Linked DNA regions of Saccharomyces cerevisiae S288C. The gene in region 4 interacts genetically with the main gene of each other region. Each region holds a gene or a part of one and is shown on either strand. Other genes may lie near its edges.

Region 1 (7,300 bases), on a different chromosome or scaffold from region 4:
TCGATTCACATTCATCTTTTTTTAGCTACTAATAGGATAAATTATAGGAATTTATAACAAATTGAAATATGGCAGGCAGCAAAATTAAAATTGTCTTAGTTTTTTAGTGTATAGAAGTGAATAGCTATATAAAGTATGTGTAAAGTTGGTAACGGAACGAAAAATAGAAAAGGATATTACATGGGAAAACATGTTGTTTACGGAGAAATGAAAAGTATATTGTATTTTGTACGAGCTAAAAGTACAGTGGGAACAAAGTCGACTTTGTTACATCTACACTGTTGTTATCAGTCGGGCTTAGTACATTGGTTGGCCGGGTTTTAACTGCAACCAATGCCAAGCTTCAGCGTCGGCTTCTCTTTTGTACATTGGTTGGCCAGGCTTTAGTTGCAGCCAATGCCAAGCTTCAGCGTCGGCTTCTCTTTTGTACATTGGTTGGCCAGGCTTTAGTTGCAGCCAATGCCAAGCTTCAGCTTCGGCTTCTCTCTTGTACATTGGTTGGCCAGGTTTTAGTTGCAACCAATGCCAAGCTTCAGCCTCTCTTTTATCCAAAGATACCCCTTCTTCTTTAGCAGCAATGCTGGCAATAGTAGTATTTATAAACAATAACCCGTTATTTGTGCTGTTGGAAAATGGCAAAACAGCAACATCGAAATCCCCTTCTAAATCTAAGTAACCGATGACAGCTTCAGCCGGAATTTGTGCCGTTTCATCTTCTGTTGTAGTGTTGACTGGAGCAGCTAATGCGGAGGATGCTGCGAATAAAACTGCAGTAAAAATTGAAGGAAATCTCATTCTTTTAATCGTTTATATTGTGTATGAAATTGATAGTTTGTAATCTTCTTGTTTGAACTATTCTTGAATCGTAAATGAATCGTAAGAACAGTAACATTTTTGATGGGAACAAAAGGCCCTCTTATATATGTACTTATCCAAAACCTGTTGTTGCTTTTTGGTTTTCTTGCACTTCAATACAATTGAAGTAAGGCTCACTTGAATATTATGTGTTTGATAAATGAGATGCATCTTTTCACATGGTCCACTGTTTTTCAGTAGAAGCTATTAAATTCGGCAAAATTTACTGTCGTTGATGGCCTAATTAGGAAGGTGTTCATAAAAAAAAGGAATACAGATGTTCTATTGAAGGACTAATTAGGAAAGTTAATTGGATTTTGTTAAATAATTGCACAAATAGTTGTTGGATATTGCATCAGAATTATGCAGATTACCAAAGAGAACGGGATGTCTATTTAGCGCATTTATTCCTAATTCGGAAATTATTGAAATCCACACTACTTAATAGTGCTGCACCATTTATCTCATAATTATTGCCTACGCTAATGAAAGCAAATCTTATTCCGACTTCAAATTGGATCTCTCCTCAAGAAAAGAAGCTCAATGACCTATTAGAGTATGAATACTTGTAAAACAAATGAACAGCGAGTGCTTGTTTAACTTTTTTTTTTTTTTTTTTTTGATTTTAGGAATTGATACGAAACATAGTCTCTCTCCATTTTCTCCCACAACAGGACTGCAGTAAGGATGTTATTATTAATAATATATATATTATATAATTATATCTTCTTGTTAAGCATGTCTTCCCTATATGTCACAGTTTTCTTAAAGCAATAGAATAAAAGACACAATACCAAAAATTTCATGTCGAGTATGTCAGTTGAGATTTCTCTAGACAAAATGCAAGAAAAAATAAAGATCTCTACTTGTCAAATACCTTTAAATCTTATCAATAGAATTCTTAGAGAATCTCATTGAATCTTTGCATTCAGAGCGTTTAATCATTATCAGTCTGTCTCTTGGTCAGCCTAAAGCTAGAATTGAATCCTAAAAGTTCATTGATTCCTCTAATCCAGTCATTCTCGGTCTTGGCGACACAATAAATCCCTGACCTTTTAGGCTTTTTTGAATTATTAAAGTCATTTTCAGTTTTTCTTGTCGTCGGAAGCTGAGTACCATCTATGTATATAGTGCCGACCTCATTTATAACATAAATTTCATCACCAACATCTAAATCCTGTTGAGGAATACCATCAACAGAAAGTTTTACCACACTGTTGACTGGTTTTTGGTTCAATTTGGAACCTATCTTTATCCTAATGTGGGATGAATGAGGCAAAATCAGTGGTCGGAATGACAAAGAGCGAGGACAAATTGGTGTCATTAAAATAGCAGGGACTAATGGGGAAACAATAGATCCACCTGCTGATAATGAATATGCTGTGGAACCCGTTGGAGTGGCCAATGCAACACCATCTGCTGTCGTTCTTGTCAAAAATTCCCCATCAATGAAAATGTCCAGGTTAGTGAGATGAGGGGAATTACCCCTATGTAAGAATATGTCATTCATAGCATGGGTCACAATAGATGAGTTGCTATCCTTTTTTTTCAAATGACATTCTAGCCGTGTTCTATGCAAACATTTGGCTCTAGAGCTGATTACTTCCTGAAAGACCTTTTTATGCTCCTTAAAATCAAACGGTGATAGAAAGCCCAGAGTGCCCAGAGCAAATGCTAAAACCGGAGGAACTTGCGTATTTCCGAACATTGATACGCCGTGTAAAATAGTCCCATCACCTCCCAATGTCACCAATAAGTCTGTTCTGTTTACGATATCTTGTTCAGGACCAGTATAAAGTATATGAGGTCGGTTGGGATCATTCTCCAAAGGAGATTTGAAATCCTGGGAAATTTCTTCTGCCACATCGGGTTGAACAATGACGTTCACCTCGGGGTATGACTCATGTAAATGAGTTATGAATTCAACCATCGCTTCTCTTGTGGATGGAGTCCATGGTTTTTTAGTTATATAAACATTTTGTAAAGGGTTCTGCCAGATTAAAGATTGTAATTTGGAATTTGGTGGGGACACGAAATCTGCTGATGAACTACTCCTCAAGTTATTTACTGGCTTTATTTTTACAAACTTCGAGCCGCTCTGTAACTTTAGGGAATGTGAATCCAACGTACTATAGAACCTATACCATTTTACTGGTTTATTCAATTTAACCCTGACAAACATTTTAATCAGTATCCTTAACCTTTTTATCCTTTTATTTATGAAACAGCGAATAATGAATACTTAGTCTTCTCCTGCCTTTTTTTATTTTTATTTTTTTTTCAATTTGGAGATTTCGGAAAATTGTGAAAATGTGTGAAAAGCACAAAGAAGAGTTGAGAACTGTGGAAGTTTCTTAAAAGTCGCAACTTAGTGATGCATATAGATACATGCAGCATTTCTGACAGTTACAGTTTTCAATAGCCATTGTGTGATTTAAATAGTGCATTGTTCTTTGTAACAATCTTGCAGTTAGTTTTACTTCGGTGAACTTAAATTTAAATTACTTGTAACGCATATATAGTACTTTGGTTAAAATTGTGTATTCCACATATTTACATTCTCGATTAAAAGGATTGACTTTCATAGCTTATCTAATAACTAGATCAACATTTCAAGTTGATGCCATGTCTTTTTTCTTCTTCTCTAATCTCAAACATTACCTGAACAGCAATAAATAGGCTTACCATTACCGCAGTCAAAAACTCCGGACTATGTGAATTGTTAAATATGCCCTTCAATAGAAGCTTCGTTCCCTCTGCACCCAAGCAAAATCCATAGACATTAATAATCATCATCATGCAAATATTTATTGCAGCACCGATACCGCAAACAAACCTGTACCAGCTTCTGAATCTATATCTACTAAAACAGTTAGTAATGTAGGTTTCGCCTAATAATAAAAGGACTGTTAACCACCCCCAAAACAACACTCGTAATTGGATGTCATGCCATATTGCTACAAATGAGAATACGGCAAAGCTCGTTAATATTTTGTTATTGGACCCGCCAAATGGAACATAGATGTAACGGATTACCCACTTGTTAAAACTTGTATGCCAGGCTCTCCAGAATCCCACTGTACTATAATTATTATCCACACATCGTAGCATATTTTCAGGTGCATCAATACCATCGACCATGGCCCACAGCCGAAAGAGCCTCCATGGGATCAAAAGTTTTAAATACATAATGTTCAAGTTGAACAGCGCGATCATAGCCTGTTGCAAGGGTGTATCATTGTTCCATGCCTTGGTCCTTGCTATTGCACCCACATAGATATAATGTAGGATAATTTCCATCAAAAGCAAACTCGAAAATACTTTGAGGGCATAGAAGCCTATGTTTTTTTTCGTTAGCGAAGGAAGCTTATTTTCTGATTGATAAAGGTAGTCATTAAAAGTGATAATTGGGCCCACTAAAAACAATGGCGCGTAAGTAATATAAGCGATAAAATTGATAAAGTTGTAATCCTGGATGTGATGTTCTGCTACCAGTCGTTCCTTTTCCTCCAGAACATTCTTACCTGACTCATAAATGGTTTGTAGAGTAGAACCAGATAAACTTTTTCTGAATTCAGGTCGTCTATCATCGTAATCTATCGAAGGTTGGCGGCTCAATTGTTCATGCCATCTTTCCAAAAAATCCATGGAGTAACTTAACAAACGCAATAATGTAAAATTGAAAAAAAAATCCCATCGAGGAACGATACCCTTATACCATTGATCCATGGGACTTAGGATGATAGCAATATTATTAAAGGGGAGATTTTTCATTTTTTGATTGATGAATAGTGTAAAGATACCATAGGACCAAATCGCAAAAGCGGCTATCAAACGCTTTCTCTTTAGCGAATGTGCCAAAGTGAAGAAAATAAAAGCATGCGTAAAGAGCTTAACAGAATTGATCCCGTACATGAAACAGACAAAAACTAATCCACACGCAAAATCGAATTTTGTTTTCGGAATTTTACTAAATTTAACAAAAACCTTTTTTAATATAATTTGTAGTAATATTAAGATGGCCAACAAAAAAAAATTGGATCTAAAAAACCTATACTGAGGATCGCTGTTATCCACTTTGCGGCCCAGAATCCAACCATGGGCTAGCAGTCCGCTGAATTTATAGTAGTTTGGATTAGACTCGGAGCTCGTAGCCAATGCCGCCTTTATCATGAAAGGAACTACTACGGTGAACGCCAAATAATATAGTCTAAATTCCCATGTATTCCATAGCGGAGGAGATGGGCTATTAGAGCTGAGCACAGGGTTACGGGTAACAGTAACGGCACTAGAAGATGAACCATTCTCTTCTTTAGATGAATTGATAAATATCCTTTGTCGCCTTTTGAATTCAATGTCTGGCTTTATTCGTGAATCAAGTGCCTGCACGGAAAAGAAATGTACGATGCAACTCCAGATTCTTAACATCGACATCTGACTTGTAGCGATGACGTCAATTATTTTTGAGCCCTATAATAAGGTAGTTGAGAAGACAAATTTGAAGCACCCAAAAACCCTCAAAACAGTACCTACCTCAAAGCTAGCTTCTCTTTCTTCTTCTATTTGACTTCATTTTTTCCATATTCACCATTGGTACCTTCCATAAACAACTATAACGCAGTACAAATGAAAAAAGAAGAAAAAAAAAAGAAAAAAAAAGAGACCTAAACGCGCCAAGATTACAGGTAAACGAGTAGAACTTTGATCTATGTGCCTGAAAACCCCTCGGGCACAGGGTTCATAACGAAAAAAAAAAAATCGTAAGTAATGGTAACCATAGTAACCGATGCATGGGTTTTAAAAGTCACGTGCTTAAGTCCATTAAGACCGGAAACCTCTACACCAGTTCTCCTTCTGCAAGGGTTTTCTTTTTTTATTTTTTTTGATGGGATGGCTCTCTTTCCCCGTGTTTGTACTTTTGATATATATAGGATATTCATCAAAACAGCGTTTCGAACTCAGCGCTTGCACGATAACATAAGCACCTCGAGACACATTAGGAAAATTTAACATCCTATTTATTTATTGAATTTACAGGCACGGAAGGCCAATTAGTTTAATTCAGACACATATCATGAGAGCAGTCACTAGAAACAAAATAGTCAATAACCTATACTTTTCTACATTTCTCATTGCATTCGCATCAGTGGCCATCGGTTCTGTGCTGCCATGTCCAGCACATTCAGTGGATTCTGATTCACCAGCTGTACAGCAACACAAGCTTCAGCTTGCTCATGAGCAGGAGTTAAAGAGGAAGGATGCTTTAAGTAAAAAGATTTAAACAGGTACGGGCTATCTGGAACTTTTGATAAGTTGTATTCTATCTCTTTTATTTCCTCTTTTTATTTATTTTCGAGTGCCGTAATCTTCGCTACTTCAAGTTTCATAATCAATCGACTTTCTGTATGGGTAAGCATCTGGTGTGATGCAGTTTCATTATGACACCACAAATACAAAAGAGACTATTTAAATATGTATATAGATCACATTCCAAAAAAGAAAACCATTAATAATATCACTCTTTAATATTCCAAATTGAAACGAAAAAGCGCTATTCTTATTCGCTTCCTAACTACCGCCCTAGTTCGTGCTTGCATTTTTTTGTAGAACGATAAATTATGGTATCCCACGTGATTGAGTGTAACCCTGAATTGTTGAAGAGAAAATGAAGCGGAAGAAGCAAAGGACAAAAAACAATTCATTTGATTTTGCCACTTCTAAATGAAGGTCTAATAAAAGCTATCTTGAGCATCTTTATTAGATTCTGCACAGCAACAAGCGATTTTCTTTGGTCAAAATATAATAATTGACTTACGTTTTTCCCGGACTGTCCTTTCATAATATAATAACCATCTGCAAGCCATGTCAGATGAAAACCATAACAGTGATGTTCAAGATATTCCTTCACCTGAACTATCCGTCGATAGTAACTCTAACGAGAATGAATTGATGAATAACTCAAGCGCAGACGATGGAATCGAATTTGACGCCCCAGAGGAAGAAAGAGAAGCCGAAAGGGAGGAGGAAAATGAAGAACAACACGAACTGGAAGATGTGAACGATGAAGAGGAGGAAGATAAGGAGGAAAAAGGAGAGGAAAACGGGGAAGTAATAAACACAGAAGAAGAAGAAGAAGAAGAACATCAACAAAAAGGCGGAAATGATGATGACGATGATGATAATGAAGAGGAAGAAGAGGAAGAAGAGGATGATGACGATGATGATGATGACGACGATGATGATGAAGAAGAAGAAGAAGAAGAAGAAGAAGAAGGCAACGACAACAGTTCGGTAGGCTCAGATAGTGCCGCTGAAGACGGTGAGGATGAGGAAGACAAAAAGGATAAAACCAAAGATAAAGAGGTCGAACTTCGCCGTGAAACATTGGAAAAAGAACAAAAGGACGTAGATGAAGCTATAAAAAAAATAACTCGTGAAGAAAATG
Region 2 (8,699 bases), on a different chromosome or scaffold from region 4:
AAAAGACATTATATGCACTACTGTATAGATTTAAGTGTGACACTCAAAAAGAGCTTATTAAGCAACAGCAAGTTAAGAAGAGGCAGTCAATTAGTAGCGTTTCTGTTTCCCCATCTAAAAAAGTATCGACAACTCCACAACGCAGAAGAAATAGAGAATCTTTAATTAGTGTAACATCTTCTCGTAAAAAGCCAATATCCTTCAACAAATTCACTGCCTCCAGTGCCTCCTCCAGCAATCTAACTACACCCGGTTCTTCAAAACGCCTTTCAAAAAACTTCTCTTCAAAGAAGAAATTATCTACAATCGTTAACCAATCTTCTCCAACACCAGCATCACGTAATAAAAGAGCTTCGGTTATAAATGTGGAAAAGAATCAAAAAAGAGCCTCTATCTTTTCTACTACCAAGAAGAACAAAAGATCTTCTAGATCTATCAAGAGAATGTCATTGATACCAAGCATGAAACGTGAATCGGTGACAACAAAATTAATGTCAACATATGCGAAATTGGCAGAGGATGACGATTGGGAATACATTGAGAAGGAAACAAAGAGAACGAGCTCAAATTTTGCAACTTTGATAGATGAAATTTTTGAGTACGAAAAGTACGAACAAATAAGGAAAGAGAAGGAAGAGCTAGAACGTAAAGTGAGAGAAGCAAAAGCACGTGAAGAGCTGGAACGTAGAAGACGTAAACAAGAAGAAAAAGAACGTGCAAGAAAATTACTAGAAAAGGAAGATCTGAAAAGAAAACAGGAGGAACTCAAGAAGCAAATTGAAATTGATATAAGTGATCTAGAGCAAGAGCTGTCCAAACACAAAGAGGAAAAACTGGATGGTAATATTAGATCTATCTCTGCTCCTATGGAAAATGAAGAGAAAAATATCAATCATTTGGAGGTTGATATTGACAATATTCTCCGTCGCCGCAACTTTTCTTTACAAACTAGACCTGTGTCAAGGCTTGATCCGGGTATAATGTTCTCCAGTCCAACTGAGGAAGTAAGTCCAGTGGAACCAAAGAGAACAGAAAATGAAAGACTTACAACAGAAAAGAAAATTTTAGAAACTATCAGAAGATCAAAATTCTTGGGTTCATCATTTAATATCGATAAAGAGTTGAAATTGTCTAAAATGGAATATCCAAGTATAATTGCACCACAAAGATTGTCAGAGGAGCGAGTGGTGTCAGATTCTAATGATGGATATGAATCTTTGATCCTCCCGAAGGATGGGAATGGCGTATCTCAATTAAAGGATAGTACCGCAACAACTGCTCCCGTCTCTGATGGTAGGTTGAGGAAGATCTCTGAAATTAGAGTACCACAATTTACTAGAAAATCAAGGCATTTTAGTGAGTCCAATAAAAGGCTATCTGTCCTGTCGATGTACTCTACCAAGGAGTCGTTTACCAACTTGGTTGATATTTTGAAAAACGGTAACCTTGATGTCAATAACCAACAAAGCCAAAGAATTCCAACACCAAGAAGTGCGGATGATTCAGAATTTCTTTTTGAAACTGTCAACGAAGAAGCTGAATATACAGGAAATAGTTCGAACGATGAGAGATTGTACGATGTCGGTGATTCCACTATCAAAGACAAATCCGCGTTAAAGCTGAACTTTGCAGATCGTTTTAATGGATCGAACGAAGCGAAACAAACTGATAACTTACATCTTCCGATCCTTCCTCCGCTTAATGGTGACAATGAATTGCGTAAACAGAATAGCCAAGAGGGTGACCAGGCACATCCAAAGATTAAATCGATGATACCAGAATCAGGCTCTTCTTCACATACTGAAAAGGAAGAAGAAAATGAGGAAAAGGAAGAGAAAAAGCCAGAACAACACAAACAAGAAGAGGATCAAGAAAAAAGAGAGAAAGTAGTAGATGATATGGAGCCACCATTGAACAAATCTGTGCAAAAAATTAGGGAAAAAAATGCTGGCTCGCAGGCAAAGGATCATTCAAAAGATCACTTAAAAGAGCATAAGCAGGATAAAAATACAGCAATTGGAAATGGTTCCTTCTTTAGAAAATTCTCAAAATCTTCGGACAAAACAATGGAATTGTATGCCAAGATTTCTGCAAAACAATTGTTTAATGGTTTAGAGAAGCTGTTGCGTGGTTGGACTCAGTATGGTTTAAAAAATATAAAATCGCACCCCAACAATCTGACCTTAACGGGTAAACTATCGAGTGATAATATATTCTCACTACGTTCAACACTCTTTGAGGTTAATATTTATCCGAGAGGTAAGATGAGCGTTGTGCAGTTCAAGAAAGTTTCTGGTTCATTCAAAGCTGTCAAAAAGTTGGTCAATGAAGTTGAGAACGTCCTGAATAAGGAAGGCGTTCTACAAAAATAGTGCTAATGTAATGCAATCATGTTTTGTCTCCTTCGTTTTGTTCTGCCATAATATTTCGCTCATATTATTTTTGCTTATTTTTTCCCCTCCGTATTAATACTTTAAATAACAATCTAATGGAGGTACTGGACTCTATGTACTATTATATTTACCCTTAAAATATCGTGTTGATTACTATTTGTATAACCGTTTGTTTTTCTAACTATATATGAAAGAAAAGTAGTTATAGTTATAGTAGTTGAAGATTTAAAAGCTATTTGCCCTCTTTGGGATTAAAGTAAGAGCTAAACATAAATTATGTAACAGTTTAATTTTCCGAACATTAATTGTTGTTAAAGGCTTTAATATCAAGTATACTGAATATGCTAGAAGTTCCACTCAAGCATATAAGAATATCTGCCTAAATTATTATTTATCACTACAACTTGGCTACAAATTATGAACAATGAGGCCGACAAGAAGTTACTCTCTTAAAAAATGGGATATGATATATACAAACATATGATACAAAAATTTCAACAAATAAGTGGTTGTTTGGCCGAGCGGTCTAAGGCGCCTGATTCAAGAAAAAATCTTGACCGCAGTGAACTGTGGGAATACTCAGGTATCGTAAGATGCAAGAGTTCGAATCTCTTAGCAACCAATATTTTTTAGTTTACATTTTTTTCGGGGATAGTCATAGAGGATCCACCTTCATCTCAGCTGTCCACATTAAGGCCAAAGCTAATAAAGTGGCACATACTGGGCGGTTAAACAAAGTTATTAAGTAATTATTGCAAAACTCCGTGGACAACTTGTTTAGAATGAAGGTCATTCTCCTTAAGCCGGTTCAGTTGCCAATGCTACTCTTAATACTATTAAAATTTATTATGGCCGCTAAGGAAGGCAAAATACATGTCTTAGAATTCAATGCGAGCAGTGAATACACGCTTGATAAGAGAAGAGTTATCTCCATAAATGGCTACAGCGCTACATTTGGCCCAGAAATTCGAGTTAAATCCGGTGACACTCTTAACTTGAAATTGACTAACTGGATATGTTCAGAAGAAGAAGCTAGTAAAGACAGTGATGTTTGGAAGGATTACTGTTCAACAGCTTTACATTTTCATGGGGTGGTACCTTTAGCAAATGAATTTGATGGAATTCCAGGTTTAACACAGCCCACTATTGGATATGGAGAAAGTTATTGGTATAATTTTACCATTGATCAATCAACCTGTGGTACTTTTTGGTACCATTCGCATTCATCAGTACAATACGGTGACGGTATGAGAGGTGTTCTGATAGTTGAATGCGATGATTATGATAATCATGTGGCAAATACTATTAATTCTGTGAGAGACATAGAGACACTAGATGACGGTGTTGTTACAATGAAAAAAGATAAACACACGAAGGAATTGACGGATTATGAAGTTCAAGAAAGGATTATCACTTTGAGTGATTGGTATACCAATTGGAATTTGGACATTTTAAACGACAAGGTTTTGTCATCTACCGGGGGTACAGATCCCAAATTTGATGGATCATTAATAAATGGAAAATCATCTGACGGTGAAACTATCAAAATAGGATTTAACACCGAGTATCTTCTTTTGAGAATCGTAAACTCAGGAATGTCTGGTACTCAAGTCTTTCACCTTGATGGATTCCAATTAATTGTTCTAGAAGCCGACGGGATTATGATTAAACCGTTCATTGTACAAACGATAAATTTAGCGGTCGGACAAAGATATACAATTTTGGTCAAACTAAAGTCTGACACTAGTTTTATTCGTATGATTAATGGCTGTAACAAAATGATGGGTTATATAACAAAACAGTGGTGGTTTTACAAAGAAGGCGCTCATTTGGACCTACCAAAGAACCCCAATGACGTTTCCATCGAACACTTGCCTGGTTTCACTAAGGCCGAGCTTTATCGCGACATAGAACCAACGCAAGAAGAGAATAAAAAGTTACGCACAAAGGCTGATCCTGTTGCAGTTTTCGAATTCGATTATGCTTATTACAAAGATGAAAGCACGAAACAAAAGTATGGGACTGGGATGTATAAGGTGAACGAACGGACATTCAGCGAGTACGTAAAAGACCCGGTAAGGTTCGGATTCAACGAAACATATGATATTGTAATCAACTCACTGGACCACATGAGACACCCATGGCATATGCATGGCCATCACTTCCAGATAATATCTCTTGGCAATAAAGGTGATGGCCCATTTCACAAAGACGTACAAGAGGGCAAGGCATGGAGCCGCTATCAGAACGATTTACGTCACCTGGCCCGAACCGGAAAGGCACCGATGGTAAGGGATAGCATTAACATTGCAGGAAATTCTTACGCGGTTTTGAGAATTAACACCGAGATGCCCGGAAAATGGCTTTTACATTGTCATGTGGAGTGGCACATGATGAAGGGGCTTGGCATTGTCTTTGAGGTTCCGACAACAACCGAGGACAGTACCAAACAAGCAACTACAGCTGTATTATCGTACCCTACCAAGGAACCTGACCCTAACACTGTTGTCCATACAGCCGCACTTGAACAAAATAAGTCCAAGGTAATAGCCGTCTACATCCTAATCATGTGTGCGGTTGATGCTATCTTCTACTGGTTGCTCATGTAATCACATCCATTTCTCCCAACTCATTGCTTTTTTTCGCTTTTCCCACAGCCGTTTACAAGGCCGCAAAAAAGAAAACCCGCAAAGCTGACGGAAAAAGTATCGGCTAGCTTTCCATTGGCGACAATCGCCTCCGAGTGCGAAAACCTGTATTTCTCTGACTGCCGTAGGTCATATAGGATTGGGTCATAACGGTTTTTTGGAGACGAATCCTTCCCCTAATCGTGTTGGATAACATTACGGATCCGTGTTTTAGCTAAAGGAACAAAACAAAAATAAATAAAGGATAAGAAGAAGGATTCACTGATAATTAAGAGCTGTATTTTTCATTGGTTCGGCAGTTAGAAACAGAGATAGCATCAGTTCGAGTGTTCTTTGATATAGTAAACAGCGTATATAGAAAAGAATAAAGTGTATTGAAAGGCTCAAGAGAATTATAGAGAAAAAAACGAAGGATAAATCAAAAAAAGCGGTGTCTGATACAGTGCTCAATAGAAATACAGTTGCAAAATGGACCTCCCAACTGTTAATAGCACAACAAGCATTTCCGACAATGTGGATTTAAAGAACTACTATGAGGACTTGCTTTTCAAGAATAACAGCGGAAAATCGCTATCCGATTTACCCCGTAAACTGAATGATAACTCCAATAATTCAGGAAGTGATACGGTTGATCCGCTTGCTGGCCTGAATAATTTGAGAAACTCAATAAAAAGTGCGGGAAATGGTATGGAAAACAGGAGGACTTTTGACGATATTGATTTTATGGGTAGGTTTCCGTATTTGCCACCAGTGCCAAATCAACAACAGCAACCGTTTTCTCACCAGAACGGGTTCATTCAAGAACACCCTTCCAGTAATTTGACCTCTTTTCAAATGTCTTCGTCTAATTCAGAGCCGATGTCCGCACCGCCCATTTCATCCAATAACAATAATTTAAACTCTACTCAAATGGGTAATTATCAAGCTCAACAACGGTCGTTCCCGCAATTTAATGGAAATTCATTTCATTCAAATGGAAACGACCTAATGGGGAATCGGATGGATTCAGACTACATGCGTTTAATGAATAAAACAAACATAGGTTTTACTTCCAATAGCGGCAGCAATTTTGCTGCCCCATCACACAGTGCTGGCAACCCATCTAGTATGAACAACCAACAAGTACCATCATTTAATTGGCAACAGCCATCTCATCCAGAGTCTACCATTAGGAGATCCTCCTACATATCAGATACTCTAATCAACCATCAAATGCCTGACGCTCGGCAAAAGCAAACATCCCAAGTGCAGCAGCAACACGCTCAAGGTTTCAATCTTTTCAATAGCAGATTCAACTATGACAACTTGAACTCAACCCATTTGACCGCCAAAGGTGTGCCCGAGTTTGGAAATGGTGTACAACCTCCGTATCCTTATGATAACGAGCCTAATAATGCCAGTATCAGCAATAGTAATAACAACAACAACAGTCACAATATGGTTCCAATGCAACAGTTTCGCCGGAATACACAACCGGTAGCGAGCTTCAATCCATCCCTTCCTACTTTTCAACAACAACAGCAACAACCACAACAACCACAACAACCAAGAAACGTTAATGTACCTACTTCTTTCAATGGCGAACGTGTTGATGATGTTCAGCTTGTTCAACTTCAAAGAAGCAGTTCTGTCCCTTCTTCTACAAACTCACATAACCTTCAGAACGAGAACAGCAATGAAGGAAATGTATCTTTGGACAATGGTTTAGTTTTAATTCAGGGTAAACACTTGACTTCGTCCAAAACCTTACACGATTTATACAGCGACTGTGGCAGCGGCTATTTTGCTAGCTCTGCAGTTTTTGAATTCACAGATAATATTAAGAAAATGCTGAAGTTGCACGATTCTAATGAAAGTTACGACGCGAAGAACATGGGCTTAATCGATGAAGAAGGTAATACATACCAATCTTTATTAAATTTCTTGGACATTTTAAGAAGTTGCAACATGAATTACGTTAATGATCCAGAGTCGAATAATGGAATTGTTTCCAATAATGGAGGCAATAAAAATAGGAGGAAGGGCTCTTTCACAACAGAACTATCATGCAGGAATGCTAATAACTCCTTTTTACCTTATACACCATTGGTACTGGTTGCTTTGAAAAATGGGAAACTTGAACTACTATCTACTCCACAAGCTACCAATTTGTTGTTAAAGAGAGGTGACTTGGTTATTATTGATGGTGACCGTGGAAGGGATTTAGTATTGGTTGTTGAGCCCTCTGTCGATTTGAATTTAGCATTATTTATAAATTTTCTGAAAAAGAAAATTCACTTTGACTCTTTAATTACAAGTGAGTCACAGCACTATCGCAATGATGAGTTTATTCAAATGTTGATTGACTCAAAAAATGGGCAAAAGAAAAAATTAAATCCCAAATTGTATGATGTTGTTGAATTAACTGAGTTAATCATACCATCTAAACAAGTCTTACGTTTTGCCACCCCGTGGGAGGTAACAACGAATTTGCACAATAAATTTGAAGATGAATTAAAAGCCTTGCATATTGCTCAGAGTAAATTACAAGCGTTAAATGATAATTCAAAATCTCAAAATACAAATGACAGTTCTTCCAATAATTTTACGAATGCTGCAACTTATTCAAAGCCTAAATTGAATATCAAGATTTTAAACGCAGAATTCCAATTTGATAGAAAGAAATTAACGTTTTACTACGTTTGTGAGGAGAGAAATGATTTTAGAGACTTGATAAAAGAGCTGTTCAAATATTACAAGACAAGAATTTGGTTGTGTGCCATCCCGAATAATCTGTCTATTGATTCTAAGTATTATGATAAACAACAAAAAGAGCTGAAATTATATCAAAACATAGTAAAAAATTACAATGCTGAAGATTTAATGAATGTCAATGAGTTTTCGCAGAACAGGGGGAATAACAGAGTTAATTTTGCACCTCCGTTGAACGAAATTGAACTCGACAACTTTCAGATTGCTGTGTATGAAGAATTAGTTCACGAATTATTTCATTAAATGATCTGTTATTTCCTTGTTGTAACTATAAATTTTCTAAAAGAAAAGACAACCATTTGCCATTATTTTGTTAACATTTTTTCATTGTTTTTGTTTTTGTTTGTTTTTGTTTTTGTTTTTATTTTTGTCTACTTTTTTTATGTTATTTTGTTTTATCGTTTCTGTTCGTTGTTTACCTATTTTCCTGCCAATTCAATTTGGTACTATCTTTCTATTATCAATATTTTCTTTCCCTTATGTTTTTTTCTATATGAAAACTTCACAGGGAGAAATAGAAGAAAATGTTCATTATTCTGTTTAACTTTGATAAAAATTACTTATACGTCTCCCAATCATGGTTTCATGGTCACTGGTAAGGAAAAATTCGAAAAACTACGGGACTAAAAATTTTTTAAAGATTGTCCATATTCCTCGATCCACACTTTCAAGTTTGAGATTTATTGTTGGCAACTTTCTTACATTTTTGTTGTTTCAACTTCTATTTTATATTCTAACAGCCGCTTCCATTTATTTTTCATAGGCTTTATATAAAAAACAAAAAATAATGGAATCAACCAACCCTTATAAACTTATATGTAGTTTACATTTAATCAAGGTCTGTTATCGTGGCTATTGCTCTAATTCATTATTTGTCGACATGTATTGGTTGATAATTTTTGTTTTG
Region 3 (8,612 bases), on a different chromosome or scaffold from region 4:
GAGAATCGAACCCGTGTCCCCACCTTGGAAGGGTGGGATGATAACCACTACACTAACCGCCCGGGGTTAACTTGAAAGCTCTAAAAGCTCGTTTTCCATATATAGGCATGTTACAATTCCTTTCCATTCTTTCCATTTTATCCATTATCTGATGCATTTCCCTGATAGAATAAGAACAAACTACCATCCATCGATTAGTATTCATGTCACTAGTATATTAATTATCATTTATGATGTAAAAAGAGGACATAAAAGTTATAGAACAGTCATTAGGTTTAATAAAAGCTTAAATAAGAGGATCGATGAAATAGTAGGATAGTGAAACATATAAAATGGAAAAGAAATAATAATACTATTAGGTAGATATATTGATTCCCTTTGGATTCCTGTATCTTGCAGAAGAACTTTCAACATTTTTTCTATACGCAATATCGTAGCCTGTAACAATAATTGTTGGGATTCCATTATTGATAAAGCAATAATGTTAGGTATGTAGGATATACTAGAATTTCTACTCGAGGGTATAGGAATCCTCAAAATAGAATCGAAATTTCTACATAATAATTGAAGAGAGTGTGGGTTCTGATGTAATTGTTGGGATTCCATTGTGATTAAGGCTATAATATTAGGTATGTAGATATACTAGAAGTTCTCCTCAAGGATTTAGGAATCCATAAAAGGGAATCTGTAATTCTACACAATTCTATAAATATTATTATCATCGTTTTATATGTTAATATTCATTGATCCTATTACATCAATGCTTGCATTTCAGCTTCCTCTAACTTCGATGGCAACTTTTCATACCTTATGTCACCATCTAACGCCTTATATGACAATATACTGACATTAGGAATACTAGTTGATATAAGATAGTGGATTTTTATTCCAACAAATTTTCAGCTCCTTTTTTTCCTAGGTTATAAATAAAAACAGTTAATGAGAAATGAAAATTCTTGTCTTTACTCAAGCAGGAATTACGAAGCCTATCAGTCGCATAATTAATATTGCATATAATGTCTATATCCAACAGTGTTCTTGTAGGGTATAGGAATCCACAAAAAGGAATCAATAAGTTTTACCCTCTACACGTTGTCACCCCTTTCCTTTATCACACTATCAACCCTTGTGTTTGAGCTTCTAATAAATTCGTTCCGGTTGGATCTTATTTTGCTGATTTCATAATTTACCAGCTTCCTAATGGGGTGTTTAGTAGTATTTCTAGCAAAATGAATAATAATATTAACCTCTTTCACGAGTTAAAAAGTTGTTGAATTTCGCGGCAGTAAGAGGGTACCAAAAATACTGGACTAGCAATTGGTTTATTATGAAGTACTTATCCCTGTCTGTACCATATGATATTATTTAGAGAAAGCGCAAGCTTAATACCACCTTGACCTTAAGCAAACTACGTAAGCACTAACTCAAAATAGGTAAACTTCATTGGTCGCAAAAACTGTAGGTCGAATAATATATATGTGTTAGTGTTTATATTTATTTGTAAGCCCTTAAAGAACCCCTGTTTATAAAACGGAGTCAGATGGGAAAGAAGCTATAAAAAGTAATTTCATCGCTGTTTTTCATCTCTACGTCTTAATTTCATTTTCAAATTTGAAGCTTCAACCTTGCTGCGAAAAATCAATAACGGAACAAAAGGTAAAAAAGTAAACAGGACGGTATACTCTTAGCAGTAAACATACATCAAAAACACCGCTTGTAACCACACTATCCTTCCAATTTTGAAATAGCGCAAGTTAACCATTAACGAATAATAATATGATTTAACATAAAATATTGATTAATATAAAAGATTAAAACATATAGAAGATATTTATGTTCTGACAACACGAAAGCTTCTGAGGGCTCCTGTCTTGGTGTTTCTCTGGTAAATAGTGTAACATAACTGTTACAAAAAAAAACTTCAAAAACTCTCCACCTTGTCGACAAATTGCTATCAGATACCAACAGAAATTTTTCGCTAACTTGAATCCGTACTCTAATTTAAAAACTCCAGTGATGATATTATTACAAAGGAAGACCATTTACATGGCTGCTTCCGTACCCAAATCTAGAACTTTCAACGACTGTGACCGCAGACTATTTTGCCTCCTTAGAATTAAAGCGCACTTAGATAGTAGGTTTTAACCAGTTGAAAAAAAAAAATCAACCTCAGGATAATGAGAATTTTGAACTACTACAACCTCCTGTTAGAATATTTTTTGGGAAAGTATATCCAGCCTGTTCCCAATCAGTTAAATTGGCGTTATAATATGCATTTAGATGGCTTTGGATATAATCATATGTCGGGTAGTCCTCAGGATCACAAGTAATGGACGTAGAACCCTTCGGCTGGTATAATCGGACGTAATCTATTGACATTGTCACCGGGAAAAATATATATTGCCAGTCGATATAGGCCCAGTTGTTGGAAATACCTAAGTTTAAAATCGCTGACATTGGCTCCTTACTTATTCTCCTCCAGTCAATATTACCACTAGGATGTAAAGAAGTAGCATATAGTGTGAAAGTAGGGTTCTCTCCCACAAACCAACGAATATATCCGTTGTCGTCATCATTGAGATATTCAATGGCATACTTTTGAAAATAACCTGCTTCCTCCCCAAATTCATACCATGTTACATTTAAAGTGGATATTGCTGAGACAGCTTGTTGAAAAGGCCCACCAGCGTAAGTATTCATAGTTGTTGTGGTGAAATTATAAACTTCGATGAAGTCATAATCGGGCATGTACCATATATCAAATGGAGCAATTTGTAGAGATTGTGACGCAACACCAACACCCAAAATTGTATCAGCTTCACCTTCTAAAATATCTATTTCCGGTGCGCCTCTTCCAACTCCCTGATTTGGATGATCCTCATTATCACAAGTACAAACACTCAACTTTTGTCCCGGCAAGTAAGAAATACCATCTGGGGAACTTTGGTTTGGTGTTATACCAGCGTCACATGCTTCATATGAATAAGGCCAAACACCTTGAGTACTCGCCAAATAACCTGGTCTGCCCAAGTTCCCCATGGTCCACATACCAGGCCATAATCCTGTAACTCGACCATAATTAGGGAGGTTCGCGGAAACTTCTAACGCACCTTCTGTAAAGCAGAGTTTGTTCCAGCTCTGTACCATACCAGATCTGTAATAAAGGTCATGGTTTCTGAATGCATCCATTCTCAACGTCAAGGTACCATTTGTAGTTGTAACGGCATCTGGTGAGTACCATTCAAGATCTTTCGTAGCGTCGTAGTGGATGTCAGGAGCTGTCCAAAACTGGTCATCGCCATCGTAAAAGGTCCTACCTTCAGCATTAAATTCATCGGAAAACACCAGCTGCCATTTAGATCCATCTTTCGCTACTCTTGTCTTCGCACTGTCAGGTGTGTCTGGATCAACTAAAGTTGTCCTTATAGCCGCAAGTTGAGGATATTGATATTCAGTCAATGACTTGGATGTAGTATTAGAAGACGACGATCCTGCTGAATTTGCCGCATGAACATGTTCATGATGATAAACTACCCCGGAAAATGTAATTGCAGGTAATACAATGAAAATAAATATACCAGCCATAAATAAAAATAGAATACCCAGAAGCCCCAAGAAAGATCTTCTATCCATGTGTTTGAAGTCGTCAACGAACCTCCTTCTATCTAACTTTGCTTCTTCCTCGACATTTGGATTATGAATGTAGTCATCGTCTTCCTTTTCGTCCAACGTTAACGGAAAGAAGGAAGCTGGATAACCGCCAAAGGGCGAAAAATCCTGTTCGCCCATGTATAAGTTGGTGGATGATAATGAAGAGTCGTGAGCAGAAGAAGATGAGCCAGTCATATTCGCTCTTTTCTTTTCATTTATAAGGTTCTGCGACTGAGATTGAGCCGCTGAAATATGCCTCGTTCCTACTAGCGGATATCTGTCAAAAGGTGGTGGAGACTTAATTAAGCTGTTGTTAGAAAAGCTACTCATATTATTTGAAGAAGGATGAGACGGTAAGTTTCTGTCCGGCGGCTGTAAATGTGATGCAAAACTATTATCGTTACTACTGCTTATAATGTTCTTATAATTATTGTTATTATGATTGTTTAAGTTATTAGCAGAAGTTAGGTTAGTCTTAGCATAATAGCCCTTATAGTCTGACATTCTTTGACCATTTCTCTCGGGTGAGTTCTTTTCATTAGCCAGAAGAGAAGTATCGCTGTTAGGATCGTTATTATAATTTATGGATGAAGAACTGGAATATTCATTTGCCCCACGCCGCTCATCGTCTCCACTGGGTGAATTATAATCTTCGTCAAATTCTTCACTTCCAAGGAAAGGATTACCGCTCACCCTAACGTTCTGACCATCTGCAGGTTCTAATGATGAGCTTTGTCTTGATTGCTCATTCGAGGAATAAAAGGAGTTTTCGCTTCCGGAAACACTATTTTCGCTGTTGGAATGACGATTATTGGTGAGGTTTCGCACAGACATATTCTGCTATTGTTTATGTAACACTAGCTAGTAATGGTTATAATATACTGTGTGCAATAGGCTTAGATCTGCTGTGTTTTTCTTATTATTTACCGTTTCTTTATTTCCTATTCCTTGCGTAACCGCTAACGATTGTAATAATTTTATCAAACCTGTAAAAGTTTCTACCAGCTGCGTAGAATCAAATGGAATATGGGTTGTTTTTTCGAGCGACTGAAAATACGAAGAGGCACTTTGTAGTCGGAGTAAATCGATAGTTGTAGTAGAATATACTGGTTTAATATTCTTCTTCTCTTTCTCTTTTAGCTTTTTTTTAGCAATGCGAATTTTTTCTCCTTAGAAGGTAGGTCTCCCTATTTTGGTCAGTTTTAAACGGTTCGCAGAGCGATATCGTTTGAATGCAGCAATGTAGTAGGCAAAAAAAAAGGGACAAGAATATACAGTGCCGAAACGTCTATGTACAGTGATGGCAGTTGGAGGAAGGCCTATGTGAAAGAAAACTATATGCTGTTATGCTCGGGAATATATAGTAATCTGCGCAGAGATACATGTTCGGCACAGGCTCACCTGGGCCTACTAATTACGCATCGATGTTGACCAATTTTCCGCTTTGGGCACGCATTCATTTGTTTTCCTTTTTAAAACAACTCAGATCGTATTTGTCTCAGCACCCACACCTTGCACCAGGGTCCGTTTACCCATTTGAGGAATATGTTTCTAAAAAAAAAGAGCCGTAATATTCCAGTATACCTCATTAAAAGTAAAAAAATTTGGACGAGTCCGGAATCGAACCGGAGACCTCTCCCATGCTAAGGGAGCGCGCTACCGACTACGCCACACGCCCAATTAATTGATGAAAGGGGAGAATAGAGAAGAATAATGAAGTAAATCTAATGAAATATCAAAAAGCCATTCTCAACGTAACATTTACTCAATTATCTTCAGGGCAGGAAGGGGAGAAGAAAAAAAAAGCTCTTTTACTTGATTACTGTTTCCGTTAATTTGAACTTAATTTTTCTAAAGATGGAATTGAGATATTGGTGAATTTTGAGATAATTGTTGGGATTCCATTGTTAATAACAGTAGTAATATTAGGTATATAGAATATACTAGAAGTTCTCCTCGAGGGTATAGGAATCCTCAAAATAGAATCGATAAACGATAGTTGAATTCTATTCAAGCAGAAATGAATTTCAATCATTCGATAAAGTAGCTTGTATTTTGTGAATCACTTGCCATTCCACCATAAAATACTAGCATAAATGTTAACATGGAAAACCGGATTTCTAGGAAGCAAATAATTGTACTAAAATCACGGATACTAATAATTTCTACTTTACTGTTGCCCTTTTATTTTGTTATATTGTAACAAAATAAATCCGCCTTCTGCCGTGCCGATTTATATTCCTTTCATAAAGTCAGTGAATTATAGTAGTATATAAGATGCATATAATTAGTTATTTAATGCCGTAAAAATGAAAGATGGGGAGTATGTATTATCACCCATTATATCTCCTCAATAATAGAGTTTCCCTTGGGAGATCTGCTTAGGGACTCGTTGTATCTGTCAACTTCCTCATCCTCAACGTCTTCTAATAGGGGTGAAGCGTGTTTTTTTAGTGTATTACCAGACACAGAGAAATCCAAAGTCGTATCAGAATCACTGTTTATACTTTCATTATCACTTTCTGCTGAACCAGAATTGCTATTATTATTTTTATTGCTGGCCTCAATCTCAGAGATAGGCAATGATTTGGAATTTTGCAATTTTTTTTGCTGGGACCTCTTGGTTTTTTGCTTATTTATCAAAGATTCTTTCCTTGCCTTCAATCTGGCTTCCTTCTCTTTCTTTTGCCTTTCTTCATCTTCCTTGGCAGCTTTTTCCTGTTCTGATTTTCTGCTTTCCTCCTGCATCAATCTTTCTTCCTCTATCCATTTTTTTATTTGGTCTTCTTTGGTTAGTGGTTCTTTCGCTTTCTCCGCTTCTTCCTCCTTCAAAGATTCAGACATGTTAACATCATCGTGAGACTCGTCTATTTTGGATTCAATTATTGGCATCTTTGGTTCGTTGATGCCACCTTCGGAAATTTCTTCCTCATGCTTAACTAAACCAATCTTTAAAAGTGCATATTTTTCTCTCGAGCCATCATCTATGTTTTCAACTCCACAGCCAATAACAAAAACATCTTCAAACACTTGGTCTAGAGAGAATTCCTTAAAGATTTTATCCTTCTTACTCAATATGCTCAATTCATCACCTCTATGATTCAATTCTATTTCGTAGTCTTGGAAAAGATCCTTAGCAATTTTCTTTCCTATGGCTCTAAAATCCAGATCTTTCAATGCAGATCTCAATAGAGCATCTTCATCCGCTTCATCTTCAACATAATACTGGTTTCCAAAAAAATCTTGGACAACATGGTAAGTTGGTCTGTAATGGTTCTCCTTTAGCTCACCTAATTTCTCATTAACGTACTTTGAAAAAAGTTCATATGGAATCCGCTTAGACAAGCTTAATGTATAACCATTTGGTGTTTCAGCAAGTGCATACCTCAAAGGTTCTGAACAATTTGCATCGCTTTTTTTTGGAGCTCTTAGGTTAGCTTTTATTGCTTTCCTCCTTTTACATTCTGGATAATAGCTCACTGGAGAACTGCAATCAAAATAACGCGAATGTAGGGGCTGACTAAAAGATGGCAGCTGTTCAAAAACACATGGTGAATTGAATATGGAAAACATTTCTATATTGTAATGGGGTCTATTAGTTATTTTCTTTTGGTTGTTGTTATGATTGTAATACTGATATTTCTTTCAAGAAGAAGAAAATATATATAGAGCAATGAGAATACCTGTCAATGAGAAAAGATTGTTCTAATGCTTTTATATATGTAATGCAATAGATCTTCCATTTGTTTTGCCACTTTACTTCGCCAAGAACTGAAGGCTTCTATGAAATTCTTAATTCTTCCATCCTGGGCGGCTGTTAGCCCAACCCGACCTGGTTCGGAATATCGCCGAACAAGAAAACTGGATACAACTCTCGAGCTCCACCGAGTGTCGCAATTTTCCGGAACTTTCTAGAAAAAAAAGTGTCAGTAACTTTACAACCACAGACGGTGCGAAAGAAAAAAAGAAAAATACGGCTGAAATAGTGCTACATGACGATGCACAGTACATACACTACAGCATGCTAAAATAGCGAAAAACGCCCAAATATTCATTACCCTGTAAAGTAGTCCATAATGAAACATACGCTTCCCCTCCACGTCAAAAAACGGAGTATGCTACGCAGCCACTTTGGCCTTATGTTGTACAGCAAGATACCACAATTGTCACCCACAAGATCATTCTTTTCTGCATCCAAACCTTCCCCTCTTTTTATATATCTTCTTGCCGGGCAGCCCTTCCAAAAATTCCACCATTTAAATCTTTGGCATAAAGAAACCCTTTCCATATTTTTGAATAGTGGACCTTTTGGTCCGTCAATATATTTCCATTGAAATGGGCACCATTTTTGTCTGGGATCCCTAGGTCTTAATTGTTTATCGCCCCAAGCGCCTTTGAACGATAGCCATTCTAGTCCCATTTTAGTTTCTTCAGCGCCGCATGGTGTCATTTTTTCCCCCACAGTCACTGTATAGGCATAATAGTTTAAAGAAGGATCCCATAATGGCCCTCTATCAGTAAAGTCACTCAATGGCATAAAGAAAAACGGAACATCGTGCGCATGTTGACCGACTGATGCATAATGTGCATGTGTGCCTCTTGCACTAAATATTAAAGGCTTCTTAATAACCTCGTTTGTCAATTTACCGTCAACACGACGCAATCTTTTGATTTTCTCAATGGCTTCGAACTTATAGGCACTACCACCCCCATGCGCACTCATCCATAGATATTGTGGTTCTCCTTTATAGAATCGTACTAAAGAATGTTCCCAGTCCCCTACATGATTTCCCCATGGTCCGGAGCCCATAATATAAGGACCCCAATTGAAGGGGTAGAAATAAAACCAGAACGCGTCTACCCAACCATTTCCTTTGTCAACGACAAAAAGAACTGCTGGTGCTTTCTTTATGTGACCTGTACCATATTCTGGTTGTTCACCCAACAACCAGTCAGGGCCC
Region 4 (7,880 bases):
CTATAGGAGCTAGACTGTCATCATTTTCTGCATCTATGAGGCCAACAAGAGCAATCTCGCTGCCTCGAAGTAACTGTGCCTTGCAGATGAATTCCTTGCTTATGCGGTTGAAAACATTGGTTATGAATAGATTAGTATTTTTGTCGAAGCCGTTTAGGCTTGCTATGAGGCATTCGCCGTCAACTTTGATTATAACAACTCTTTTATTTAAGTAGTCTTTCAAGGTGGCTGACATGGTGCACGATAGTGTGTTCTTCTTGTATGGTGTACTGTATGCAGCTTGCTGGTCCATCTTATAAGAACCACGTAAGATTAGTTTTTTTTTTTCCCTTTACGCCATGATAGTATTTTCAGGACTTAAAGGGAAAATCAACAAGAACAGAAAGAAGGAAAACAAGCAAAACAAGGATACTGCAGACGTGTAGAAACATTTAGTAAAATGGTCGCTAGAGGTAGAACAGACGAGATATCTACAGATGTTTCAGAGGCTAATTCTGAACACTCGTTGATGATTACAGAAACATCATCACCGTTCAGATCTATATTCTCCCACAGTGGGAAAGTAGCGAATGCAGGCGCTTTAGAGGAATCGGACAAGCAGATACTGGAATGGGCAGGTAAACTGGAATTGGAGAGTATGGAGCTGAGGGAAAACTCTGACAAGCTAATTAAAGTTTTAAATGAAAATTCTAAGACATTATGTAAATCGCTAAACAAGTTTAACCAGCTACTGGAACAAGATGCTGCTACGAACGGTTCGTACCAACACAGTGCATACCCTCAAGTTTTTTATTCATTTTCTTCCAAAACACATTTACTAACAACTGTAGTATAGGAAACGTGAAAACCTTAATAAAGGATTTGGCTTCCCAGATTGAAAACCAACTGGACAAAGTGTCAACAGCAATGTTATCGAAAGGCGACGAGAAGAAGACAAAGTCGGATTCCAGCTACAGGCAGGTATTAGTCGAAGAAATAAGCAGGTATAATTCCAAGATAACGCGACACGTAACTAACAAGCAGCATGAGACGGAAAAGTCGATGAGGTGCACCCAGGAGATGCTCTTCAACGTCGGCAGCCAACTGGAGGACGTGCATAAAGTGCTCCTGTCTCTATCCAAAGACATGCACAGTCTACAAACCCGCCAGACTGCTCTAGAGATGGCGTTTCGAGAAAAGGCAGATCACGCCTACGATCGCCCGGATGTGTCTCTGAATGGCACCACACTCCTGCACGATATGGACGAAGCCCACGATAAGCAGCGTAAGAAGTCCGTGCCGCCACCAAGAATGATGGTCACAAGGTCCATGAAACGCAGAAGATCCAGCTCCCCAACCCTATCCACCAGCCAAAACCACAATAGCGAAGACAATGATGACGCTAGCCATCGGCTGAAGCGTGCGGCCAGGACCATTATTCCCTGGGAGGAACTAAGACCCGACACTCTGGAATCTGAGCTGTGAAACGGGCGTCCTGCTTTTTCATTCTACACAGGCATATGTAACAGCAGTGTATAGGCTATGTAAATCGGCCCAATCAACAAACAAGCGTTGCTTATTGGACTTGCTACTACCCCAACAAAGGAGAGAGCCTTTGATTGCATCCTCGGAAGAGACGGCATAAACACCGAGCCTCATCCTACAATGAAAAACCACGCCAGTTGGATATAAACCAGAAAAGGGTTTCAATTCAGTATCCACCATGAGCAAGACAAGATAAGACAAGATTGCATAAAAATGAGTGCTTCCAAAATGGCCATGTCCAACCTAGAGAAAATATTGGAACTGGTTCCTCTTTCGCCTACCAGTTTTGTCACAAAGTATCTGCCTGCCGCGCCCGTAGGGTCTAAGGGCACTTTTGGTGGAACGCTGGTATCACAATCGCTGCTGGCGTCATTGCATACTGTGCCATTGAACTTCTTCCCCACATCGCTACATTCGTATTTCATCAAGGGTGGTGATCCGCGGACCAAGATCACGTACCATGTGCAGAATCTGAGAAACGGTAGAAATTTCATCCATAAGCAGGTTAGTGCTTATCAGCACGACAAGTTGATATTTACGTCGATGATCTTATTTGCCGTGCAACGGTCCAAGGAGCACGACTCCTTGCAGCACTGGGAGACGATTCCAGGCCTGCAAGGTAAGCAGCCAGACCCTCATCGTTATGAAGAGGCCACTTCGCTTTTCCAGAAAGAAGTTCTGGACCCACAGAAATTGAGCAGGTATGCCTCATTGTCCGACAGGTTCCAAGACGCAACCTCGATGAGCAAGTATGTGGATGCGTTTCAATACGGAGTCATGGAGTACCAATTCCCCAAGGACATGTTCTACTCGGCAAGACACACCGACGAGCTGGATTATTTCGTCAAAGTGAGACCTCCCATCACTACCGTGGAGCACGCGGGCGACGAGTCTTCTTTACACAAGCATCATCCGTACAGGATCCCGAAGAGCATTACTCCTGAGAACGACGCTCGCTACAACTACGTGGCCTTTGCGTATCTGTCCGATTCCTACCTCCTACTCACGATCCCGTACTTCCACAACCTGCCTTTGTACTGCCACAGTTTCAGTGTCTCGCTCGACCACACGATTTACTTTCACCAGTTGCCTCATGTGAACAATTGGATCTATCTTAAGATTTCGAATCCCAGGTCCCACTGGGACAAGCACCTCGTACAGGGCAAGTATTTCGACACACAGTCGGGACGCATCATGGCAAGCGTCTCTCAGGAGGGCTACGTTGTCTACGGGTCAGAACGAGACATTCGAGCCAAGTTCTGAGGACAATTCCCTCCCACGTATAAACACATACATATATATTCTTATATTATATAATAATATCCTATTTATTATTACATCACCTTTCACGAGCGGGTATCATACCTTTTTCCCTTCGATCTAAGTAGAAAAAGGACCTGAATGATCATTGTGGTACTTATTCCCACGCATAACCGACTACGGCACCACAACGACGCACCAATGCCATCTGACGTAGCATCGAGGACCGGGCTGCCAACCCCGTGGACCGTCAGGTATAGTAAGTCCAAGAAAAGAGAGTATTTTTTCAATCCAGAGACGAAGCACTCGCAATGGGAGGAGCCTGAGGGCACCAACAAGGACCAGCTACACAAGCACTTAAGAGACCATCCAGTGCGTGTAAGATGCCTGCACATTCTCATCAAGCACAAGGATTCAAGAAGACCCGCATCGCATAGATCCGAGAACATTACGATATCCAAGCAAGACGCTACGGACGAACTGAAAACCTTAATCACGAGGTTGGATGACGACTCTAAGACGAACTCCTTCGAGGCCCTGGCTAAAGAGAGATCAGATTGCTCTTCATACAAGCGAGGCGGCGACCTCGGCTGGTTCGGGAGAGGCGAGATGCAGCCTAGCTTTGAAGACGCTGCCTTCCAGCTCAAGGTCGGCGAGGTAAGCGATATCGTTGAATCAGGAAGCGGTGTTCATGTGATCAAGCGGGTAGGTTAGGTTGGCATTTGCTTCTCCACCTCACCTTTTTATGTTCTTATTCCCTCTTGTATCCATTCCGTCCTCGCTGAACCCATGAAAAGAAAAAAAATTAACTAGTCACATAGTTAAATGGCGCTGTTCTTCGCTGCGAGCGGAACCGGGCCTGAAAAAAAATTTTCTCTTTTCCTCTCCAGATGACTCAGTAATATAGTAGTATATTATATAATGTAACAAAAGAAGAGACTGAAGTTTTATTATGCATTGTAGCGCCTGTAATCTTTAGTAACGGATTCTTGTATTTTTTTGTAAACAGCCAAGAAAAAAGTAGAGATGGGCTTGTTAACGAAAGTTGCTACATCTAGACAATTCTCTACAACGAGATGCGTTGCAAAGAAGCTCAACAAGTACTCGTATATCATCACTGAACCTAAGGGCCAAGGTGCGTCCCAGGCCATGCTTTATGCCACCGGTTTCAAGAAGGAAGATTTCAAGAAGCCTCAAGTCGGGGTTGGTTCCTGTTGGTGGTCCGGTAACCCATGTAACATGCATCTATTGGACTTGAATAACAGATGTTCTCAATCCATTGAAAAAGCGGGTTTGAAAGCTATGCAGTTCAACACCATCGGTGTTTCAGACGGTATCTCTATGGGTACTAAAGGTATGAGATACTCGTTACAAAGTAGAGAAATCATTGCAGACTCCTTTGAAACCATCATGATGGCACAACACTACGATGCTAACATCGCCATCCCATCATGTGACAAAAACATGCCCGGTGTCATGATGGCCATGGGTAGACATAACAGACCTTCCATCATGGTATATGGTGGTACTATCTTGCCCGGTCATCCAACATGTGGTTCTTCGAAGATCTCTAAAAACATCGATATCGTCTCTGCGTTCCAATCCTACGGTGAATATATTTCCAAGCAATTCACTGAAGAAGAAAGAGAAGATGTTGTGGAACATGCATGCCCAGGTCCTGGTTCTTGTGGTGGTATGTATACTGCCAACACAATGGCTTCTGCCGCTGAAGTGCTAGGTTTGACCATTCCAAACTCCTCTTCCTTCCCAGCCGTTTCCAAGGAGAAGTTAGCTGAGTGTGACAACATTGGTGAATACATCAAGAAGACAATGGAATTGGGTATTTTACCTCGTGATATCCTCACAAAAGAGGCTTTTGAAAACGCCATTACTTATGTCGTTGCAACCGGTGGGTCCACTAATGCTGTTTTGCATTTGGTGGCTGTTGCTCACTCTGCGGGTGTCAAGTTGTCACCAGATGATTTCCAAAGAATCAGTGATACTACACCATTGATCGGTGACTTCAAACCTTCTGGTAAATACGTCATGGCCGATTTGATTAACGTTGGTGGTACCCAATCTGTGATTAAGTATCTATATGAAAACAACATGTTGCACGGTAACACAATGACTGTTACCGGTGACACTTTGGCAGAACGTGCAAAGAAAGCACCAAGCCTACCTGAAGGACAAGAGATTATTAAGCCACTCTCCCACCCAATCAAGGCCAACGGTCACTTGCAAATTCTGTACGGTTCATTGGCACCAGGTGGAGCTGTGGGTAAAATTACCGGTAAGGAAGGTACTTACTTCAAGGGTAGAGCACGTGTGTTCGAAGAGGAAGGTGCCTTTATTGAAGCCTTGGAAAGAGGTGAAATCAAGAAGGGTGAAAAAACCGTTGTTGTTATCAGATATGAAGGTCCAAGAGGTGCACCAGGTATGCCTGAAATGCTAAAGCCTTCCTCTGCTCTGATGGGTTACGGTTTGGGTAAAGATGTTGCATTGTTGACTGATGGTAGATTCTCTGGTGGTTCTCACGGGTTCTTAATCGGCCACATTGTTCCCGAAGCCGCTGAAGGTGGTCCTATCGGGTTGGTCAGAGACGGCGATGAGATTATCATTGATGCTGATAATAACAAGATTGACCTATTAGTCTCTGATAAGGAAATGGCTCAACGTAAACAAAGTTGGGTTGCACCTCCACCTCGTTACACAAGAGGTACTCTATCCAAGTATGCTAAGTTGGTTTCCAACGCTTCCAACGGTTGTGTTTTAGATGCTTGATGCATTATAGGCCCCAATCGATGAATATATATATAGAGATTCTCCTTTTCCATCATCTTTTTTGTTCGCAATCTTTTCATATATATATATATATAAATATTTATTATAGTCCATTGAATGGATAAACATTTATTTAAAAAAAAACAACGATCAGTATTTTTTTATTTGAAAAGTCGCCTTAATTATAATCTACGAAATTAACTCTGCTTTGCTGCCACTAAAGCCTTCTGTTTTAGTTTTCTACTAGCATACTTGCCAACAAATGGTAACAGTGCCGTATTCAAGGCAATGAGTGCGACTAAAATACCATAATTCCGACCCATCTTGCGTCTTGTCACGTCAAAAAAAATAACCCTGTAGATATCGATGACGTTGTGAACGGGCATCATGTACCCATATCTATAAACATTATTGTTTAGCGCTAATGGGAAGAAAGAAGGTGCAATATTGAGAATGACAAATGATAGGATCCAGAACCCGAGATACTGGGGTCCTAACGTAATAACAAGCATAACCGCATTTTCGTTAGCTCCTCCCGCAGCAAGCATGAAGAGCCACGTAGACATCCAATATACGACGAAGCCACCTCTACCAAAGGACTTGGTAAAATCGACTTGAAAGATGGCGGTTGTTGTGCAGAAGAACAAAGACGCAAAGAAAAAGGTGAACCATGACATAGCGATACGGTAAATTAAACCGTTGGCTGGTCTTAGCACTTTTGCCATTTCTACGTGTAATGGGCCGTACAATAGAAATTGGAAAAAAGTTAGCAGTAAACAGTAAACAACACCGATTTGTGTGGGTGCCAGTAGAATACGGTCTGTGAATGGTCTGTGGTCATAGTATTCGTAGTTATATTTACCTGCTGCAGCGATATACCTTGCATTGTTAGTTAGTGCATAACGATATACCTGGGTTATGTTTGTCAATAACGGCGGCAGATAATTTAGTGTGTAGAATGTATGGTAGTACTCTTCAATGGTCTGAGCAACCGGTAAAATCGTTGATTTTAGGTTTGTCGGGTCTCTACCAGTTTCATATACCACCTGATTAAACAGCGTAGAATTGAATAGTGGTGCGGTATCGTTGATTAGTGATTCAAATAGAGTCTCCGTGGCGTTTGGCTTGATATTAATGGCAAACCAGTATTTTTCGTCGTAAACCAAATCGACAACCTTGTCATTGACTTGCTGTGGCGTATTTACGTCGAACTTGGCCTGGAAGGTAGGACTGTTATAAATATCCCAATCACATGGTATTTTATTGATAAAAGTAGGCAAAGCATACGATATGGAGGGCACTACCATGGAACTGTTATTATCCAAAATTACCACAGGGGGTTCCTGGATAACAACCAGAAGCTTAACTTTGTGTAGATACTTGCTGGTGTCGTAAAGAGCCCCCCAGAACAACACAAACATTGTAAAGCAAATTATGGCCAGTAAGCAATTTGTGAAAACAAACTTTAAAAGAACTTTCTTCCTTTGACCCTGTAGATTAGGAGAAAAAAATGAGCCACTCGAAGGAGGAAACGCTTTCTTATCCTCGGAATTTGGCTCAGGGTCCTTCGAAGAATCCGTTGTTTGACCATCCATGTCTGGCACACCTTGTGAGACAGCATCACCGACCACGCTGGAAAGGTCATGTATATCGTTGCGTCTGCAATATTCCTCGTCCGCTTCCATATTATTATATGCTGTTGGTTCTATATCATCTAGAGATGAAGTCATAACTATACTTACTTACGGCTGGATTGAGTTGTGTTTTGTACGCCTATGGTCAACAACAAATTTTGCAGTTTTTCGGTTGCAAATAATTTGAATAGGCAATGGGGACTATATTTATTGTCCTACTACGAAGGTTTCAGAGAAGGAACGGCGCAGGCGCACGAGGGCCGGCTGCACAGTATATATGAGCGACGATCTCAAGAACGATATAGGGTTTGACTATCTAACCTACACGCCTGGTTACCAAGTAAAAAGTCCTTTTCTCCCAGAACGGTGCTATTACATATTTATGGATTGCTTACTTGGCAGCTCCTTCTGCAGCAGGCTTTTTCTTCTTCTTAGCATCGATGGTTTCCACTTTGACGTCCTTTAGGCCTTTTTCTTCCAGCAAGGAATGTATGTAAGTTTCCACTTCATCCATCACGTCACCTTGAATGACAACTTCTTCTTTTTTCTCTGCATTTTTCGAGACTGAGCACCCTGTGGCGAACCTAGACGCAAATGTCTTGGCTAGCTTTTTCATGTCGATGTCGAAAACTTCCAGCCCAGAGATAGCGACGATAAACTTTCTCTTGGTCCTAGCTT

The links.
Region 1: mutations in ILV3 (region 4) and POS5 together harm fitness more than expected from each alone (negative genetic interaction), as found in Saccharomyces cerevisiae (one large-scale study listed by BioGRID).
Region 2: mutations in ILV3 (region 4) and PSP1 together harm fitness more than expected from each alone (negative genetic interaction), as found in Saccharomyces cerevisiae (one large-scale study listed by BioGRID).
Region 3: mutations in ILV3 (region 4) and SKN1 together harm fitness more than expected from each alone (negative genetic interaction), as found in Saccharomyces cerevisiae (one large-scale study listed by BioGRID).

Annotation. Positions count from the first base shown.
Region 1 is NC_001148.4:187,143-194,442, reverse strand, and holds POS5 (NADH kinase), read right to left. Parts: upstream 3,038-7,300; coding exon 1,793-3,037; downstream 1-1,792. Other genes in the region: MF(ALPHA)1 (Mf(Alpha)1p), read right to left, coding at 298-795; GUP2 (putative O-acyltransferase), read right to left, coding at 3,460-5,289; COA2 (Coa2p), read left to right, coding at 5,930-6,136; NAB3 (Nab3p), read left to right, coding at 6,718-7,300. UniProt on the Saccharomyces cerevisiae protein: Phosphorylates both NADH and NAD(+), with a twofold preference for NADH. Anti-oxidant factor and key source of the cellular reductant NADPH.
Region 2 is NC_001136.10:1,456,031-1,464,729, reverse strand, and holds PSP1 (Psp1p), read left to right. Parts: upstream 1-5,509; coding exon 5,510-8,035; downstream 8,036-8,699. Other genes in the region: protein kinase GIN4, read left to right, coding at 1-2,372; GMC1 (putative oxidoreductase), read left to right, coding at 3,176-5,002; SPG3 (Spg3p), read left to right, coding at 8,036-8,419. UniProt on the Saccharomyces cerevisiae protein: DNA polymerase alpha mutation suppressor.
Region 3 is NC_001139.9:771,066-779,677, reverse strand, and holds SKN1 (beta-glucan synthesis-associated protein SKN1), read right to left. Parts: upstream 4,486-8,612; coding exon 2,170-4,485; downstream 1-2,169. Other genes in the region: BTN2 (Btn2p), read right to left, coding at 5,992-7,224; VPS62 (Vps62p), read right to left, coding at 7,706-8,612. UniProt on the Saccharomyces cerevisiae protein: Required for synthesis of the major beta-glucans of the yeast cell wall.
Region 4 is NC_001142.9:462,139-470,018, reverse strand, and holds ILV3 (dihydroxy-acid dehydratase ILV3), read left to right. Parts: upstream 1-3,810; coding exon 3,811-5,568; downstream 5,569-7,880. Other genes in the region: U4/U6-U5 snRNP complex subunit LSM8, read right to left, coding at 1-235; REC107 (Rec107p), read left to right, coding at 440-755, 836-1,464; TES1 (palmitoyl-CoA hydrolase), read left to right, coding at 1,738-2,787; peptidylprolyl isomerase ESS1, read left to right, coding at 2,986-3,498; YJR015W (uncharacterized protein), read right to left, coding at 5,766-7,298; TMA22 (Tma22p), read right to left, coding at 7,594-7,880. UniProt on the Saccharomyces cerevisiae protein: Dihydroxyacid dehydratase that catalyzes the third step in the common pathway leading to biosynthesis of branched-chain amino acids.